Schizosaccharomyces pombe: one gene and its partners. Changing the gene in region 4 together with the main gene of any one other region gives a genetic interaction. Each region holds a gene or a part of one and is shown on either strand. Other genes may lie near its edges. The genes, in order: omh6, rud3, rga8 and ymr1.

The links.
Region 1: mutations in ymr1 (region 4) and omh6 together harm fitness more than expected from each alone (negative genetic interaction), as found in Schizosaccharomyces pombe (one large-scale study listed by BioGRID).
Region 2: mutations in ymr1 (region 4) and rud3 together harm fitness more than expected from each alone (negative genetic interaction), as found in Schizosaccharomyces pombe (one large-scale study listed by BioGRID).
Region 3: mutations in ymr1 (region 4) and rga8 together harm fitness more than expected from each alone (negative genetic interaction), as found in Schizosaccharomyces pombe (one large-scale study listed by BioGRID).

Annotation. Positions count from the first base shown.
Region 1 is NC_003424.3:3,391,224-3,396,110, forward strand, and holds omh6 (alpha-1,2-mannosyltransferase Omh6), read right to left. Parts: upstream 3,022-4,887; 5' UTR 2,727-3,021; coding exon 2,260-2,726; exon of another isoform or gene 2,189-2,259; coding exon 1,902-2,188; intron 1,884-1,901; exon of another isoform or gene 1,806-1,883; coding exon 1,663-1,805; 3' UTR 1,468-1,662; coding exon of another isoform or gene 686-1,467; 3' UTR 527-685; downstream 1-526. Other genes in the region: U3 snoRNP-associated protein Utp7, read right to left, coding at 1-167; SPOM_SPAC959.11 (uncharacterized protein), read right to left, coding at 686-1,051; tRNA-splicing endonuclease subunit Sen15, read left to right, coding at 1,036-1,467; pdi4 (protein disulfide isomerase), read right to left, coding at 4,462-4,887. UniProt on the Schizosaccharomyces pombe protein: Probable mannosyltransferase involved in O-glycosylation of cell wall and secreted proteins.
Region 2 is NC_003423.3:738,605-742,394, forward strand, and holds rud3 (golgin protein Rud3), read left to right. Parts: upstream 1-1,658; 5' UTR 1,659-1,670; coding exon 1,671-2,876; 3' UTR 2,877-3,272; downstream 3,273-3,790. Other genes in the region: double-strand-specific ribonuclease Pac1, read right to left, coding at 1-191; U4/U6 x U5 tri-snRNP complex subunit Prp31, read right to left, coding at 3,359-3,790.
Region 3 is NC_003424.3:570,200-576,424, forward strand, and holds rga8 (putatiRho-type GTPase-activating protein Rga8), read right to left. Parts: upstream 4,225-6,225; 5' UTR 4,173-4,224; coding exon 4,070-4,172; intron 4,026-4,069; coding exon 1,795-4,025; 3' UTR 1,607-1,794; coding exon of another isoform or gene 686-1,606; 3' UTR 554-685; downstream 1-553. Other genes in the region: mrf1 (peptide chain release factor), read left to right, coding at 37-207, 350-448, 686-1,606; erg11 (sterol 14-demethylase), read right to left, coding at 4,936-6,225. UniProt on the Schizosaccharomyces pombe protein: Acts in signal transduction. Negatively regulates the pak1/shk1 control pathway.
Region 4 is NC_003424.3:2,481,908-2,486,735, reverse strand, and holds ymr1 (myotubularin family phosphatidylinositol-3-phosphatase), read left to right. Parts: upstream 1-1,819; 5' UTR 1,820-1,989; coding exon 1,990-2,013; intron 2,014-2,069; coding exon 2,070-2,645; intron 2,646-2,690; coding exon 2,691-3,770; 3' UTR 3,771-4,328; downstream 4,329-4,828. Other genes in the region: ltc2 (BAR and PH domain-containing protein), read left to right, coding at 1-1,100, 1,199-1,538; C-22 sterol desaturase Erg5, read left to right, coding at 4,626-4,758.

The DNA of each region.
Region 1 (4,887 bases), 910 kb from region 4:
TCGGTTTTCGCCAAGGAAGACTCAACATTCTCAATTCTCTCCTCGATTTTCTGAATATTGCTTCGAAGCTTTTTATCCTTGATTTTCTTTGGATTCAGCTTGCGCCCTCTAGAATATTTTTTTGTAGAAGCATTAACATCCTCCAAATTCAACTTTTGAGCAGACATAATGCTAACTAAGTAAAGATATTAGTGAGGAAAAAAGATTTTTTTTTCTTTTTAGGCCTGATTATACAAAAAAAATGAAGCAGTTTTCTAATAAACAATTCTTTCCAAAATTTAGGTATCTCCCTTAGTCAAAAAGTTAGAAACCCTTCAATTTTTACACAAATGTATTATGTAAACGAAGTGATAGTTAAAAAATTCAAACACTACGTTCGACTTCGATTCTATGACCCAACAGTAGGTTTAGGTTGAGGGCAGGTGGAATGTAGTTCTAGGAATAGGATTTGTGCGTTCTTATTGTAAAAAATCAGAAACTACTACTAACACAATTAGATACAAACCACAATTATTTACAAATAATACAAGTATAATAAAATAAAATTTCATAAAAATTAAGTATGCAAAATAAAAACAAGAAAATTTTAAAAGTAAACCCGAAACCCAGTAAAAACATTATAAGTTCAGACAATGGCCAATGCCAAAACTGCGAAATGAACCATGAAACGAAAATAGCTCAGGAATTAATTCTCCTGCTTTTTGGTCATGGAAAGAAGCTGGATCGAATTGGATATATCGCTCATCTTCGAACCGCTATTATGAGCACTTCTTAGTACGCTCTGCGTAGTGTTGTAATCATCAATACTCTGTAAAAGGACGTTTTGTTGGTATTTGTTGTTTTTAGAGGAGTTTTTGTTTTGTTTTGAGGATTTCTTAACTCCTTTTGAAGTCTGTTTAGGCTTTTTTGACTGCTTGTTCCTTTTCTGTGCCATTTGGTTGAAGTTAAAAGTTTTATCACGGAGGCGATAATTCATTTTTTCAACAAAATTTTCCTTCTCAAAAGTAAAGATATATTTATTATAAACAAATACACATGCAACATAATACATTTCTCCCTAACGATGCTGTAGAAGAGCAAAAGCAAAATCCATACTATGGAATACTGAGAGCAGTGGAAACCGACTTAAGGCTCGGTCAACGTTGGTGTGAATTAAAGGTACATGTTCTTGATATTGACTTAAAAACAAAAAGGCCTTTACTCTCAGGGATTCCCGTAAATGGACAGCTCAAAGACAAATTGCAATATGTTCTGCCGCTTTACCTCCAAGAGACAATTTCGATCGAGTTTCTGTCCTCTGTTTTCGATTCTATGAAGAAACTGAGCCTTCCACTTGTAAAGGATGCTCGAGGTCTTTCTGGAGATGAGTTTTTCCTATACCTGGGAATCATGTGTTCTGACTCAACGATAGTATATTACAAGATCACCGATGGACTTATAAAACCAAGGCAAAATGATGAAGAATAAACACATGATATATACATATTTATTGATTAGGATTGAAAAACGGAAAGACAACGCTATAATTTTACCACTACCAGATTAATTTTTCACTTCAAGTGTCTCAACGTTTGTAAATGAAAATGCACATATTACAATAACTTTCATAAAACAAATTCGTATGAACAAAAATTTTCTGTAAAGCTCATTCATCAATTAATATCACAAACATGCACATCTTCCTGTGTATGGAATAGTTTCTGGGCAATAATGAACATCATCGTTTAAGAAAAATCCCACTGATTCCATATGATTAGCACGCGCTCTTAAAACACCAAATGCTGCTGAAAGGATATCAGACTCGGCTAAATAAATGTCAGCAAAAAGTACAACGTGAAGCATTTATATTAGAAACAGGTTAAATAAAGTCATTTCCAAAATTGAAGAAGCAATTTACTTACTCCAGCGATGATAATATGTTCCTCCTGAACCAAGCAAGTAATTAATTAGGTTGGTGTAGGTCTGATTATGCCGAATTTGCTTTAGAGATAAAATTTCATTAAAAGGCCAGTATTTACAATAGGTGTAGTTGTTACTATAAACCCAGATATTGCTGAAATCTCCTTGAGTGTTTAAAATTTTGTATTCTTCAATTGCCTCTTCCATAGCATATATACCAGAGTGTTTACGTTCACAGACGTGGTTTGTAAATACAATGTCGCTGTCTTTGAAAGTAGAAAATATATCTCTGAACAAAAATATTAGTTAGGTTTCCTGAAAAAGAAGAACGAAATAAACAAGTTTTACCGAGTTTCTTACTTTTTTTCTTCACAAACCAATTTGAGCCCGGGTTCTATTCTCCAAACATAATCGTATTCCAATTGAGGATGATATAATAAAGATCGAACTACCCAATCTTGAAAACTGTGAAACAAAGGAGAGTATACGTAAGATAGATTCTCTTGAGCAAGTGCATCTGCTCGTTGTTGATAAAGTCGATTGTTTTCAACTAGGGGTTTTACTTGAGAAAGATCCCAATGCACTAAGTAAGAGATAGTTAGAATAAATTGTAAATGATTGGTATAAGTTATTCCCTTCGTACCGTATTCACAATGACCAGACGCAATCGTGCTTGTCGTACTCATAAAGTATTCCGTAAACTCATCCATGCCGTAAAACGTCCAAGGATAATGAAACCTCTTATTAAATCTATCCTCTACGCTACGCATCGTGCGCAACACTTCCCCAAGTTCAGCATTACTAGAAAACAGAATTAGAAAGTACATCTCAAATGGCACCGTACGCGGTAAACATCAGAAAAGAAGCACTCAAATTGGAGCTTTGAGGTTCATTAAGAATCACATATACATTGTTGGGTTCATTTACAGAGAATCCATTCAACCAGGTAAATACAATTGGTAGTATGGAAAGTAAAAGTTCGTAAAACATAATGAAGCTTAAACACGAGCAGAACTTTCCCTGTTATGAGAAGTAACTAGTTCAACTAACGTATGACTCCAAAAGTAACGCATAGAAAGTGGATTTGAAGGAATTTAACTGAAATTGCCTAAGACAATGGTTAAGGGCAAATGTTAATACCCTGCTAGAGATTTGACCTTAGAAAAGAGAGCTCTTTGAGTATAAATATTTATTTTTAGCAAATCAATTTTTGTATACAATGTTTGATGGGTAGATCACTGAAAGAATCTGCTAACGAGCATAATCTTATAAATGACATTTGCATAAGCGTACTGATAGTCGCTATGTCGAGCTGTTATTACTGTTGGAATATTTAAGTTCTATCAAAGGAATTATAAAATTTGCATTCGTCTTTTATAATGGTTTTTAATGTCTATTAAACAATTCATTGTTGCTGATGAATGTAAACAAAAGCAATAAGTTTAAGTATAGGAAAGCTTCAGCTGTTCTAGAATACAAACTCAGTAAAATGTTATAAAATAATATTTCATAAACCCAAGTGGCATATGTATCTTAAGACATTTTCCCAATATCTGCAAACTAATTCACTACTTTCGATCAAATTATATACTGTGGTTGTTCATAATGCACAATCTTATTTTAACGAGCCTTTTTTTTTGCTTTCTGGAAACACCAAAATTCCTAGACTACTAAGGGTAAAACAGTCACTAGGGTTAGGGTTGTAATTTTCAACAAACTATATAAAGTCTCGTTTGCACTTCGTTATAACCTATCATGAATCTGAAGTTACATTGTTCAGATTCTTTCGAGAATCTTGCGTGTAACATGGTTGGCGTGTAGAGGTTGACAAGAGTACAGACAGGGCGGCGATTGTCCTTGCAGTTTCGACTGCAGGTTGAGAGTTGGCGTCTTGCCATGAAAATTGACTAAAGGATGCTGCGTAGCCTAGCCAACAGATTCTAAAACGATTGGAGTGATCCTGATCCTTCTCCTTTGGAGAGGAATTGGTTGATCCTCTGACAACTGTATATTCCTAAATCTTTCGCTACATGATCTCTGGATCCTTGCAGTTGGGTAAAACCATACAGTTGACATTTTTCATTTGGGTAGTTCTTCTTTTATGATAGTTTAATCATGTGTATGAATACGATTAATTATTTTATTACAATTTTACTTTGTCATTTAAAACTGAATTTTTTAAACTTCCAATTCGCTGTTAATGAACAAATAAAAATGGGCGTTGTGATGTTTTGATGAGAAACAGGCTGACCTGTCGATGTAGTTTTCGTTTGTACAGCTTGACCGTTTGAGGTAGGTTGCCAGTATGGTATTTTGTATACTTAAACTGAATTTTTAATGATAATATTCTCGTCATATTTTGAGGTACTTTGTTTTCGTGTATAAGTCCTTGTCAAATTAAATGGACTACAAAGTTTTTAACAATCAGTTTTGTGGGCTGTTTGTAGCAACATCACAAGTGTATTAGCAATAAATGATTTAGAAATGCTACCCTAAGAGAGTATATAAAAAAAACCTTTCGCTCCTTTTCATCGTTTACTAGGTCGTTGAATTGTCAACATTTCAGTCTGATTTGGCAATTACAAGCGAATGATAAAAACCAAAAACTGGTTGCTTGTTCAGCAGTTGTCGACGCCGACGGGAAAGCCTGCTAGCTGAAATAATTGTCAGGATGCTCAATATTAGTAAAGCAATGAGCAAATTAAAAACTATAAGTTTGTATCTATTCCTGTAATTGGGGCTACCGTTTGGACATAGGCCCGGTGCACGCAGTTTTTGAAGACGAGATGAGTTAGGGTGCTCTAATATAATCCTTAATGTGGAAAATAGAGAATCTTCTTCTAACGTAAGTGAGTTGCCGTTTCTGTCACTCACATAGATTACGCCTTTCGAGTGATCTATCACAAACACTGGTGGTGTGATAGAATCTACATAAACAGTATGGTCCAAATTTTCCACAATCCAATCCAACCATAAAGAAGAATCTAA
Region 2 (3,790 bases), on a different chromosome or scaffold from region 4:
TTTGTTTCTTCTAGCAAGGCTTTCATAGCAAACATGAGTTTACGAATTTTTTTTTCCAAAATATAATACTGCCGATTTTTTATGTGGCTACTTCGCTTGTGACCAAGAGACCTTCTTCCTCTTGATAAAGAGTCGGAAGCGGATGAGGAGGAATCTGAGTCCCCTTCATGATGCCTCTTAAACCGTCCCATAGGAAAATGGTAGAAATATAAAGTAGATTGTGAGAAGGAAAACGGTGCTAAAAGAGACAGAAGTATCCAAGAATGCTGTATTGGGATCTACTTAAAAAATCGGTGTCAAAAATGGCCGAGAATTAAGTACGGAACAGAGTTCCGGTAAAAATATCGTCAGTAGAAGAAATGTGCAGTACCAGGATACTGTTCTAAGGGCCACAACGAAAAAGTTATTTACCCAAAATTACTTTACTTTGTGTTTTCTTTAGAAATATACCACAAACAGTAAAGAACAATCAAGAAGTAAAAAATGATCAGCACGAAAAGCTCCGTGTAATATACAAATGCAAAAAATCTTGTAACAAAACAATCAACCAAAAACAGCTCTCCAATGTGAAGAACACCTACCCAGCTAAGAAAAAAATGCAAAAAAAATGTTCTTCGAATAGCTGAATATAAAAAAATAAATATTTTTTACAGTGAAAAAAGTCTTTTTCAATGTTATAATCTTCAAATCTACCAATTAATGATATCTGAAGCAAATCGAAAATGCAGCGTAAAATCGAAATGTGATTAAAAACCGTATGTTGACCAAACCAAGGACCAGCAATCCTCCTTATTTGAAAGAAAGCTCTATCACCGTAGATGCAAGACAACGCTACTTACTTTGCAAAAACCCGAATGAAAAATAAACAATCTGAAATGCAAGTTCGTAGGAACTACCAAACCGTCAATATGAATAAGAAAACAACTCTTTTCTTTAAAAAGAATATGCAGACTCGTTCAACCTCATATGTGTGGGAGTTTGTTTATGTTGGGCAGTGAGGGACGAGAAAGGAGAAGGAAGAAAGAAACACTCTTTTTCCAACTTAGCGGTTTATTTCACCACGTTCGTTGGTTAACATGAGCAGAGAAAGAATAGGGGCGTACCGCAGCACAACGGTCAACAAAGTATGTTAATGTCAGCAATACTACACTACGCTATGATACACTACGTTGCGTATCACTATATGTCATATGTTGGAATACTAGCTAAGATCCGTTTATTGATAATCACGGGTAACTATCCGTCTATATACATAGATACCCGTTAATAACAACTATTTAGAAATATTATAAATAGCGTTACAACTGAACCTCGTTCCTCAGTTCAGTTATGAGCTATATTAGTGATAGGTAACATTATAACCCAGTTAATACAATACCTATACTCAGTTGCTACTTATACAACCTGTGTATTGTAATATAAATAGACCATAAGGAAAACTCACCGCAGTTCTACGTATCCTTAAATCAGATACCAAACTGCGTAGCTTACAGTTAAAGTTGAATACGTTGCTACTGTTTATTGTAGTAACAAATTTTAAAGCAAAAGGTTTAGTATTTCGTAAACCAAGTTAAAGGAATATTATCGAGGTTTATGGAAATGTTTACGAAAAGATGGATGTTTTAGGGCCACTCTAGAGCTCACTAATTCAATTTCCCATAATTTCTGGAATGGCAGAAAATGCAGGAAATGAAACAAAATTGGTGGAAAATGAGAATTTACAAGAGGATTTAAGTCGTTTGAACTTAGAAGATGAAAAAAATGAGCTCAAATTGAATGAAAAAGGCGGAGTTTTGAAAGAAAACGATGAACATTTAGAATGTTCAGAATCTTTCAAGAAATTGGCGGAGAAGGAGGAAGCTTATCAAACATTAAAGAATTCTTATAACTCATTGAAGCAGCAACACTCTAATTTACTCGGGAAGGTCTCGGGAATTAAGTCAACGTTGGGAGAAAGGCTTAAGAAGGATTCTCAAGAGTTAGCTCAAAATCGAAAACGAATTCAAGAGCTCGAAAAGTCTTTGGGCGATGCAGAGGAAGCACTTAAGTTGAGCAATGAAGAAACCGTAACCTTGACCGCACAAGTAGAAAGCTTAACGCAAGATATAACAGATTTGAGACAGCAAAATGCTTCGCTTGTTGAAGAAAATCAATTGTTATCGACTCAATCAAAACAATGGGAAAGAAGAGCCAGAGATGAACATGAGATGCAAGAATCATTGGCCGTTCGATTGGCAGATTGTGAAGAGCAGCTAGCTAGAGAAACTGAAAGACAAGAGCAGTATGAAGTTGAAATTCAACGTCATTTGACAAATCAGCATCAACTAGAAATTGAATTAGAATCCACCAAAGCTTCCCATACTGAAAACCTCGGTGAACTTACCAGAAATTGGCAGAAGGCCATGGACGACGTGACTGAGAAATTCGCTTCTAAATCAAAAGAGTACGAAGATTTGCAAAATGAGTTAGATGCTACACAGAAAAGGCTTTCAAGGGTCTCTGATTTGGAGCACGAGGTGAAAGAAAAAACCCTACTTATTGGTAAACTGCAGCACGAGGCCGTTGTTTTGAATGAACATCTTACAAAGGCTCTCTGCATGCTTAAAGATGGAAATAATGCAGAAAAAATTGACAAACAACTTATTTCTAATTTGTTTGTCTCCTTTTTGACGCTTCCTCGCGCTGACACTAAACGTTTCGAAATATTGCAATTAATTTCTTCCGTGTTAGATTGGAACGATACGCAAAGGGAACAAACGGGACTTCAACGTCCTGGTTCCTCTGTAAATAATTGGAGTATTCCTCACAGTGCGTCCTCTAACTCTCTATTCTCCGATCATTCCTTTTCCAAAAGACGTTCTTTCCATGACTCATAATTTTCTTCCACACTAACCGATAATTTTACGTTTCAATTGAGCAATGGTATGAAAGATTTTTCTTTTTTCTGTAAATAATAATATCTTTCGCTCTTTTTATGTATCGCTTTTTTTTTTCTTACTTCACAACTTAATTAGGGGTTACCTTTTGCCGCGCGTACAAGGTTTTAGTATTTTTTTACTCTCTTTTCACACATTTTGAAGGTTGACTATATCATTCTTGAAGTAATAGTTTCATACGTTCATTTTGATATTTTGCCTTCTCCTGCTATGCCTAGCTTTATGGCAAAAGCGCTTGTTGCAATTTCATCTATTAGTCAATATTCTTAATTTTCAAAATTGTTTGTTAATATCAGTTTTTTCGAAGAATTTTAAAAATATCATTTTATTTTAATCACTCAGGTCATAGTTATGGTCTGTATTACTAGTATGCAAAAGCAACATAGCTATATGCAAAGTAACTAATCATTATGAAGACATTATTATGAAAATTTATTTTTCGGCTCATTAGAATCCTTCTTTATCTGTGTAAAAACACCATCACGAAACCATTTGTTGGCCTCTTCTACTTTTTGTTGTCGTTGAAGTAAGGGGTTCACTAGTTCAATGCCTTGAATAGGTGTGAAGGATAATGAACTTTGTAAACCGCTTGCAGCAAGGGGATTCTTCTGTGCCATTGATTGTAGTTGGGCCTTCCGCGCTTTTGGTAACCGTAATTTAGTTCGAGAATCAATTGACACTGCACGAATTTTTCCTTCACCTTCTTGACCAAGCATACCAAGACCTTCCGTTTCGTCAAAATTAAAGACTTCCGCCTCCTCCTTACCAAAGGCGACGCGATTCTGTAATCTCCGCAATTCCGTTACGGCATATTGCTCTTTCATCTTGCGAATTCTTCTTCCTCCACGACGACG
Region 3 (6,225 bases), 1.9 Mb from region 4:
GTATGCAGAAATAAAAGAAACTCAAAATACAAGGTGATGCTTCTAACTAAAAAAGTTTTATGGTACTTTAGACATGGAATTGAATATCAAATTCGTAGCATTGCTTGCAAAAAAGGATACTCTGAGCATAACGTTTCAAGAGTACTTATTGAAAAAGCCCGATCGCTTTCTTCAGAGTATCTTCAATTCCATCAAGTAAATAATAAAGTAAGTGTCGGCAAACAAAGTGTGAAATCAGCCTGCTACTGTTCGAGATACAATAATAATGGTAATACAAGCATACCGGACATTAAGCTTTACTCATGAAAAATTAAAATCTGATATAAATGATCTAACTTATATCTTTTAGGATCAATCGGCAATGACAAACGATACAGATTTAGCAAAGCGAATCGCTAGGCTTCGACGCGTTCATAATGCATATTCGAAATTTAAAAGTTTGTCTGAGGTATGATATAAGACGAATTTGTCTCAAACTTGTAGTCAAAAGCTTTCCTTTTTTTTATTACTCTTCCTATTTATAGTAATCGATTTACAATGGTTTTTTTTTGCTAATGGGTCTATAACTTAAGACTTTTGCCAGGCATTTACTGTTTATCTAAGTAAAGCTATTTGATGAGCATGTTGAAATACTTAAATAACTAGTTTTTGAAAACCTTGATTTAAAAAAATTCTAACAATTTAGCAAATAAGCGATTTGAAACAAATGGAGGCCCAAGAGTCAGATGCAGAGGTTAAAATGATGGCAGTGACTGAAATAAACGAAATAAGTAATAAAATACCAAAAAGCATAGAAGATCTTGAAAACACATTACTTCCACAAGCTGATTCATATGCTCTTCCTGCATTAATCGAAATTCGTCCTGGTGTAGGAGGAACAGAGGCCGCAATATTTGCAAATGAACTAGTGGAAATGTATTTTCAGTATGCAAATTTTAAAGGATGGAATTGCAAATTTATATCAAAAAGTGCAGTCCAAGGACTTGAAGCGATAACGGAGGCCATCTTCTCTATTGAAGGTGAGGGAGCTTATGGTCATCTTATGTTGGAAGGAGGTGTTCATAGGGTTCAGAGGACTCCTGCTACCGAAACTAAAGGAAGAGTTCATACGAGTACTGCATCAGTAATCGTTTTACCTCAGGTGTCAAATGATGAATCCTCTTCTCTTTACGATTCATCTGAAGTTAAAATCGAAGTAATGAGATCTCGTGGAGCCGGTGGACAACACGTTAATAGAACAGAATCCGCCGTACGTTTAACACACATACCCACTGGTATCACTGTTAGCATGCAAGATTCTCGTTCTCAGCATCAAAACAAAGAAAAGGCATTTCTTGTACTGAATTCAAGATTGGCTGCCTTAAATGCCGCAAAAGAAAATGAGGCTGAAAGACTGAAACGTAAAAATCAAGTAACGTCTTCAGATCGTTCGGAAAAGCTACGAACTTATAACTTCAACCAAAATCGAGTAACTGATCATCGGATAGGTTTAAGCATGCACGATTTATCAACATTTATGCAAGGTGAAGAAAAATTTGACGAGTTTTTGGAAAAAATAAGAATATGGAATCGTGAACAGTTGCTATTACACTCTGAAATAGTATAGGAATGCTAATTTAGTCTAGTAAAATAGGAAGGTACAATAATATATGGTGGTCAAACTTCTATAGAGAAAAATGTTTATTAGGTATATGCAATGAATAATGAGAAAAGAATGTGCAACATGTCATGCAAATAAGATATCCATAACTGATCTTTAAAAAAGATCATAGGTTAACTCATAATAACATATTTTTAACTACCACTTAAACTGGAATCTCTTGAGGCGACTGCTTCGTTCACTATCTTTGCATCCTGATCAATAAAGATTGCGGCACTTTCATTGGAAGCAGAAGAATGGCTGAAATTACGTCTTGTCTTTCTAGTATTCAAGGCATACGACGATCTGATCAATGAGGTGGGCACATTTTCAAGAGTAAATTCAGATTCAGCGGGAATTTCTGAAGGTTGCAGCTCCTCAAACGAAGATCTTGGAGATTCGACAGCAGTATGAGATCGGACAGAAGAAATGGAGTCTGGTCTAGTTGGTGATACATCTGTACTCCGAGGAGTAGCAGAAGATTGATATAATACACGGTCAGAAACACGTTTGGATGAATTCAATTTTCTGAGTTCTTCAAAAATACTTGGTCCGTAAGTTAAAAGATCCTCCATGAACTTCGTTGGGTGCTTATCATGTTGAATACCCAAATTCCATGTTGCTGGACGGGAAATGCATAAAGATAAGGAGTTAGCTAAATTTATAGTAAAAGTTTCTTTATTTGGAGTAAGCGTAATCAAGCGATTTAGATGAGTAATGATGGCACTCAAAGTAGCAAGATTAACACGTCGAAGTTGGGATAAAAGATTTTGTAAAAGTCTCAACCTGTACGGCGTATCATTACTATGATTCATGTAAATTGAACGAATAAGCTCAAAAGCAGAAGAAGGAACGATGGAATCAGGGAGTTCAAGAAAGTATAGCTTCAAAACTCCTATCACAACGGAGGGAGTATACTGTGATAAAACCTCCTTTGTCACGGATGAAGAATGATTCAACGCTTCTCGAAGTTGATGTACAGAAGACAAGGGAGAATTAACAAGCCATATATTTTGACGAACTTCATCAGAGGCAAGCGTAGGATATAACAGATCTAAATAAGAAAGGATCGTACTAACGATTATGGGAACACGTTTCTTATCTCTATGAGACAAAAACTCAACGTCCACTCCAAAAATCTGATCTTTAATATCATTATAATAATCCTCATATATTTCGACACGAGGTAAAAATGGACCAGTAGCTGCAGACTCTAAAATATACCTAATGTCACTCTCAGGTTGAATTATTTCCTGATAAACAACAATCTGATCAGCCAGCAATTTCATGGAAGGCAAAAAGTTCGAAATAATTGTTGATAAATCCATAAAAAAATCTTTATAATAAAGAACGCGATCGGTTTCACATTTTTGAAGAAATTGCAAATGATCAGCAATAGTTTCTTCCACAAGTGTGCGGCATTTATCAAGATCAACGACTGATTCGCTGTAAATTTTATTTGCATCCAGAACTTCTCTTTTAAGACGTTGAGATTGAGTTTCTGAAGAGTAAAGCTTTCGATGACTTATATAATCAGAAAGATATTCACCAACTAATGGTAAAGCCTTGGCGTTTTCGACAAGACTATCTACACTATTCAGTCCTGCAAACTGGAAAGCCTTGTCTTTCCACTGATAATGGAAGTTGGTACTATTCACAAAACTACCTCCAACGCCCATATGACGCAAAAATCCTTGAGCTATCAAATCTTGTCCAAATGCCTCGGCTGCAACTAAAGTTGGAACAGGAAGATTTTCCTGAAGCCAAGAAACAATAATATTTCCTGAACATGTATTAGGGTAAGTACCTAAGATAGGGACGCGATAATCCTGTAAGGGTATTTCTTGTAATACTTGAGCCAAAACCTCTTTTAACTCCTCAGGCCTAAACTCCATAAAACCAAGTTGAATCAGATCATCATCATTTTCCAACAATGATTGCTGCTGTGGACTAGAAACTGTTGTTAAGTCAGTAATAGCCTCACTAGTAGTTTCATTGGACTCCTTTGATTCTTCTTCATAATCTTCAAGGTTTCTACATTTGTTGTAGTAAGCGCTTTTTGTTTTTTTAAGTGTATAGTATTTCTTTTCATAACTCTTTATTTGATTGGTAAGAACTTGTTGGCTGGTTTGTAACTTCTGAGAATGATCAATAGACATTTTAGAGAAAGGAGCAATAATTAGCGTTTCTAAGTCCTTGGCAATACGAATATGTTGCTTTCCTTGATTAGCAATCTCGGAGCGCAACCCTTCAAAAGCCTTGTTAGAAGTAGCACCGTCTTCTGTATTCTCTGGCTTTTTCCCTTTTAGACATTCTTTCGTTATTTCTTGAAGCTTTTCACCAAATTCCTCATTCGCTTCTTTATATAACTTCAACAAGTTTTTTACTATTCGTTGTTAGAGGAAGTCCTATATTAATTTATTTAAATACCTTGCTCATTCTCTTCAACTCCATTATCCAGGCAATCGAAAAGTTTTTTCACACCAGTCGCGTAGTCTTTACTCCAAAAACCATTTGAAAAGCTCGATATCATTTCAATTCGAGACTGAAACTGTCACAACCTGTCAAGAAATATAGAGGTGGTTGACATGTCTACGCCCTTTATTACTCAACTTAAGTAAATAGCGAATTGCTACGCAGAAAAGTTTTACCCATCAAGGATGCCAAAAGTATCCAGTAAATAAGACAACAGATACGTTACTTGACACACATAAGATAGCATACCACTAATCCTTTATAAAATGTAAACTTCATTCAGTTGAATAGCAGCCTACGCTTTTACCCACTTTGTATTATTAATGCTATGGTTGGATCGATGGTACAATTAAAAACTACAAAATTTTAATTAATAGCTTACTGAGAAACCTTGCGTTTGCACGATGAGGTTTTGAAAAGAGAGAGTAGCGTACTTTATTGTTATAATGCCTACATGAAAACGAAAGAGAGCGTCCCGACGTTATTAAAACTATAATATCGTAAAAATGTATCACTAATGATGACAGGGTAGTTTTCATATCGATTTAGTGCGAGGATAAGGAAGTTTGAAATTGCATAATACATTCTTTTGACATTTGAAATGCTACCAAATAGTCATTTAAAACGCTAAAATATTTACAATTTCATAAAACAATAAAGCACTTAAAATTTAAAATGTCTAGCAAATTTCATGGTTATTCGTTACTCGTCAGATAAAACAAAAACGTTTAACACGGGCATGAAAAGAGAAAGGCGGAACCAAAGTTAGAAACCAATACCATAAGCGTATTGCAAATGCATTCAAATTAGGGGAAATTCCCTTAATTACGACGCTTCCAAGCAATTTTAACAGGACCCAAGGGAAGAGCAACCATACTGGAATAGTCAACGTTGGGAACTTTTCCAATAAGAGTCCAGGTGTAATCGTGTACAAACTTGCTAATAATAGTGCTCAAATGCATGTAGGCAAATTGCTCACCAATGCAACGATGACGACCAGCTCCAAAGGGTAGGTATGGAGAAGCAGCACCCTTTGTAACGAGACCATAACCATAATCAATTTGCTCAGCATTTTCGTCTTCATTGACGCGGTCATTCCAGCGCTTGGGGTCAAAGTCAGTAGCATGAGTGAAGTATTCCTCTTCAGTAGCAGTTAAACCGGGAGCAGCAAGAAGATAGTTGTTGGCAGGGATAACAATCTTTGAACCAGGGACGGGTAAGTCACGTTTGACTTTACGCATATGACTGTGGATAGGGGGATGGAGTCTAAGAGTTTCTTGAATAACATAGTTGAGAAGAGGCATGTCCTTATATTGGTCAAACTTCAATTCCAAGTTTTCACCTACAACACGCTTCTGCTCTTCCCACAACATTTCAATGATTTCAGGTTTGCTACCCAAAAGAGCAAGAACCCAAACGATAGTGGCAGCAGAGGTGTGTTGACCAGCCATCAAAAGTGCAATCATCATACCAGCAATTTCATGTTCCTTCAAAGGACGGCCATCTCTATACTTGCAGCTCATCAAAGTCCAAATCATATCAGTACCAGGATTTTCAGTGCTAGAGCGACGATCTTTAATAATTTTAAGATAAGTTTTTTGCATAATTTTGTGGGCTCTATCACGGCGTCTGTTTCTAGGGAGAGGTAACCAAGGGAAAACAAAGTTAACAGGGCTAAATCCTTGATCAAGGTCATGGTACAAGTCAGCGAAACCAGCGTCAAAGCCCTTGCGAACCTCAGCACCTTGTAAAGTACGAGAAGCAGTGTAAATAGTCATGACAGGCATGGTCTTCAGCAAATCAGCAACGCCTTCCTTACCAGGTCCGAAGTCAGGAGAAGTGCTGAGAAAAGCATCCATTTCGTTAAGAATGAGGGGGACATAAGAGCGGAATTGAGAGAAGCCAAGACCAGATTTGATAAACTTCTTGTGCTCCATAAAAACATGGTTGGGAATATCGTAAACGACATCTTTACCGAATACAGGGGTAGTTAAATGAGAGTAAGCTTCTTCAGCATTCAAATCAGCTAATTTACCGTTAAAGAGGAAATCATTACCTTGGACACCAAGGAAAGCGGTCATTTTACGACCCATGCAAACAAAGGTGAAAAC
Region 4 (4,828 bases):
AGTAGAGCGCTAACTAATTTGATCAATAAGAATGAGAGTAATGATTCATTTATGGAAGACCTCAGGGACTTCAAGATTGCTATGCTTCCGAAAGAGACAGTCCAAGTTGTTCGTTCTCATCATCTGGACGATATTGTATTTGATCGAGTGTACAATGTTTCTACTAAGGCATTGTTTCATATTGTTTTTGGTGATAGAAGCACCGTGTTGTCTGGTGCTTACAATCTTCATGGAGTAGATGATGTCGAATTTTTACCATGGGGAAAAGATCCAAAAACCAATTTGAGTCGTCGATACATCAATTATAAGGTTTATAATTACGACCAAGAAGGTCAATGTCAATCTTACCACTATGAGGATTGCCAAATAATGGACGTCCGCAATGATTATCATTTATACATTATGACATGGCTTCATCACTCTTGGACTTTGCCTTATAGAGATTACTTTAAAATCGTGACAAAAACTTCTATATCTCACCTTAGAAGGGAGAAGTCTAGATTGCTCATATCTGTAGGCCTTGAATGGATCGTTAAACCTTTTGCTATATCAAAGGTTATTGAGGCTGAATGTAGAAAACTGGCTATCAAGTATATAAAAACGGAAGTCAACTTTTTGGAAAAGGCAACTAGAAGAGCAAGAAATCAGCCGCTTATTGCGATAATAAATCAATATGGAAGAGTAGGCGACTACAATGAATCGATGGTTTATCGAAGAAAAATACCTTTTAACTGTGAATTGAAAAACCTGTCAATTATCGATATTATTCGCAATAATTGGTGGCTTTTTCTTCAAGGATTGGCAATTGATCTACTAAAGCTGCCGTGGGCTGTCTTCCACATTTTCCTAAGATATTTATTTTCTCACTCATTTTTGGTTATTATTTTTGCTTGTTCGGTTATCTTGAACCTTTCTCTCATGTTTTGTTTTGGAGCTAAGTACTGGGATGAGCGACAGAATAACAAATTTGTCGGGCAAGTTTTCGATGAGTTTAAAAATATTGAAACTTCTGCTCGTTATGTTTATATGAAGGACGTTGATGATTTATTAGTCGGACTTCCTACTTATTTGCACCCCAACGTCACTTATCCAAGTGAATGGTAAGTTTGTTAGTAGTACCATGTAATTATAAATGTTGATTACATGTACATTATATTATCTTTTTTTTGTTATTATTATTATTCTAATCTTTTTACAGTTTACAATCATTTGCTTTAAAAAGTTCTCCTCAAAAAAGTCACTGGTTACGAAAACGGAATTATATTGCAGAAAAAAGAAAAAAAATATTGGAAAATTTGGCGTCTCTAAACTATTACGAATATATAATTCACGAGGATGCCGTATATCAATACATTCAACAAGAGCTGTTGGGATGTGACAAAGCAAGGGAATTTGATTTATACCCACCCTCGATGCAAAGGTATTGCGATTCTTGCACGCAAGATTGGAGGAACCGCACTTTGTTTTTCGGCAAAGACACTCTAGCTACAAGATTATTGACACTCGAGACTGTGGAAAACGCAGACTACGCTGCATAATTGTTAATGAAACTGTAACTTAATTATTTTTATTGTTATTTTATTATCTTTTTTATATTTAGGGTTTTATGAGTTATTTGATCAAGCACTCGTTTTTTTTTGTCAGATACACAAATTAATAAAGTTGAATTTATTAAACATATATATACCAAAGATAAGTGTAACTCCTCTACATCTTTCAGAATCGTCCTTTCTATTGTTTAATAAACAAGGTAATGATATGTCAAGTTGTAGCCTTGATAACCGCAATGATTACAGCCATGCACTTGGCAGCATTAATCGACAGCACCACCGTAAATAGTTTAAAACCTTCATCTATCTAAGTAGAACGCAATTACATTCTGCGCTAAACACATATTTAATTCTTTGTACTCATATTTTGTCACAGTACTTGATAGTACGAGGGTTGCTTCATTTTATTCAATTGCTTATAAAAAGAAGTTTCCGTGTGATGGAAAACATCAAAGTTGCAAAAGTAAGCATAATGCGATTAGATCTAAAACTTAATTTTATCAAAATATTAACAAATAGGTCGGAAATGTGAAGTTTGTGAACAAAGGAAACGAATTGAACGGAACATTGCATTTGACAGCGTATCATTCTATTTTTTCAATCTCGGAAAATGGGAAGGAAATTTGGACGGCATATTCCATGATAAATAATGTAAAGCTTTGCTCTAACGAAAAATCATTTTGTATACGTATACAATGCCGAGACTTTATGTTCTTTTGTTGGAGGTTTCAAAGCACGGAGGATGCGATGGACGTATACGACACTTTACAGGAATTGATGTCTATTAATTCAATAAATATGCTATACGCATTTTACTATATGCCCTCCGGAGATGAAGAGAAACTGCCATCTTCTTGGAAATCATTTCTACTTGAAAATGAATATAGGCGCATGGGAGTAGGTGATTCCACCCAAGCTGATGGTGCTGGCGGAAATTGGAGGATAACTAAAATTAACGAAAATTACTCTGAGTGCCATTCTTATCCGCAAGCTCTAGCCGTTCCCGCTAGCATTTCTGACAGTGTTATATATTATGGATGCAAATATAGATCTAAAAATCGATTTCCTACCCTTACGTATCTCCATAAAAATTCTGTAAGTTTTACTAACTTTGAGAGGCTTTAATACTAATTTATTTAGTTTTCAATTACGCGGGCCTCTCAACCCCTTGTGGGTATTCGTCAAAATCGAAGTGCACAGGATGAAAAACTTGTTGAAGCTATATTCGCAACATCAATCATTCCTGGAAAAGAAAATCTTATAGTTGATGCGAGGCCTTCTACTAATGCGATGGCTAACATTGCCGTAGGCGCTGGAAGCGAAAACATGGATCACTACCGTTTTGCAAAGAAGATATATCTTGGAATTGATAACATACACGTCATGAGGGATTCTTTAAATAAAATTGTGAATGCTCTTAAAAATACAGATATTAGTGCGGCACCTCCATTGATAGAACTCTTAAACAGATCAAGTTGGCTTAAGCACTTGGCTAACATTTTACAAGGAGCGGTTCTTATTGTTAAAACAGTTCATTTTAGGCATGCCCATGTACTTGTACATTGCTCAGATGGATGGGACAGAACTTCCCAGTTATGTGCTCTACCTCAATTGTGTTTGGATCCTTACTATAGAACAATTGAGGGATTTTTTGCTCTCGTCGAAAAGGATTGGCTTTCCTTCGGGCATAGGTTTGCAGAAAGATGTTGTCATTTACCTGGTAAACGTATTTTTACAATCGACAGCTCATACTCAGAAGAACCACCCCAATCTTCACCAAGTTCGACTTTACAATACACTTTTTCAACAGTACGCTCTGCTTTAAGTGGCTTCTCAATTGACCATTCCGAAAAAATGATGTCTCCGGTCTTTCATCAGTTTTTAGATTGCGTCTGGCAAATTATGGATCAATTTCCTAATTGTTTCGAGTTTAACGAGAGATTTTTACGCCGTCTACTTTACCATCTTTACTCTTGCCAATACGGTTCGTTCCTATACAACTCTGAACGGGAACGAGCTCAAGCATCCGTCAGCACTCATACTCGTTGTATCTGGGACTATTTCCTTTCTCGGAAGGATGAATTCAAGAATCCTAACTATGTACCTTATGATGATGTTATAATGCCTGATCCTTCATCGCTGAGATGGTGGTCAGCTTCTTTTGCTCAACCTGATGAAAACATGAATATCCCATCACCCTCCGAATCTCCGTCTTTATGAAACATTTACTTGAAAATCTTCATTGGACATTTTCCTTCCATTTTTGTCTTCATTGGAAGTTCTTTATTAATTCCTTTTTATGCTCATTTTAGCGCAATTTAGATTGATTGCATCTCTTTCTTTCTCTCTTTTTAGCCTCTCTTTTGCCTAATTCAACTTTTCATCATCGCATGTTGACTCCGATAATCTATCTACATGGACTTTTGCGAGAGACTATGAACGCATGAAGAGGACGACAGAGTCGTTTAATTTACTGATACATATTTTGAAAGTTTACGTCCCAAATCTTCCATTTATTTTGGTGATCCATGCTAAAATTTTTTTATCCCCTTTTATACGATTATCGCTTGGACTACGAATCCCGTTCCTATGATACTTTTATTTTATCAATTCTTCCAATGTTCTTCTACTCTACTCGTATAACGGACCATTCACTGCATTCTCATGCAATCACTTAACAAAGTTTGGTGTAGATATGCTAAGCGATGCTTATATATAGTATGTATGATTGCACATCTCATGATTGGTAGTTTAACAGCTGATCTTAAATGACTGCCCAGTAACGAGTTTTTTCAATATAATAGTGAGTGTTAGTAAGCCTTTCTAATTACTGCAGTAAGAAAGCTTTTGAAATTATAGTATTAGTTTTCATAACTTTAAATTTTTCTTTTCTTTTTTTTTTACTTTATTGTAAGATTCACATCGTACCAGATTTATCTATCTCATTTCGGAGCGTATAATTGCGTGTCGGTAATTTTCTATATAAGACCGATAGCCCGACAAGGACTTTTCCTTCACCAATACCCAACGAGTTGGATTTGTTGATTCATTCATCGTGCTCCTTCCTTTAAAACGATGGAGATGAATCAAACTGAGACTTTGATTCCTGCAGCCCGAAACGTTATTCGGGTGCTGGGATACGAAATTGAATATTCGAAATGGACAATTTGCTTCGCCCTTTTGGCTGTCTGCATTGCTTATGATCAAAGTATGTTAAAGATTGAGAATTATTTTTTTGTATCAACTGCTGCATAAATACCACGATGAAAAGCATCATT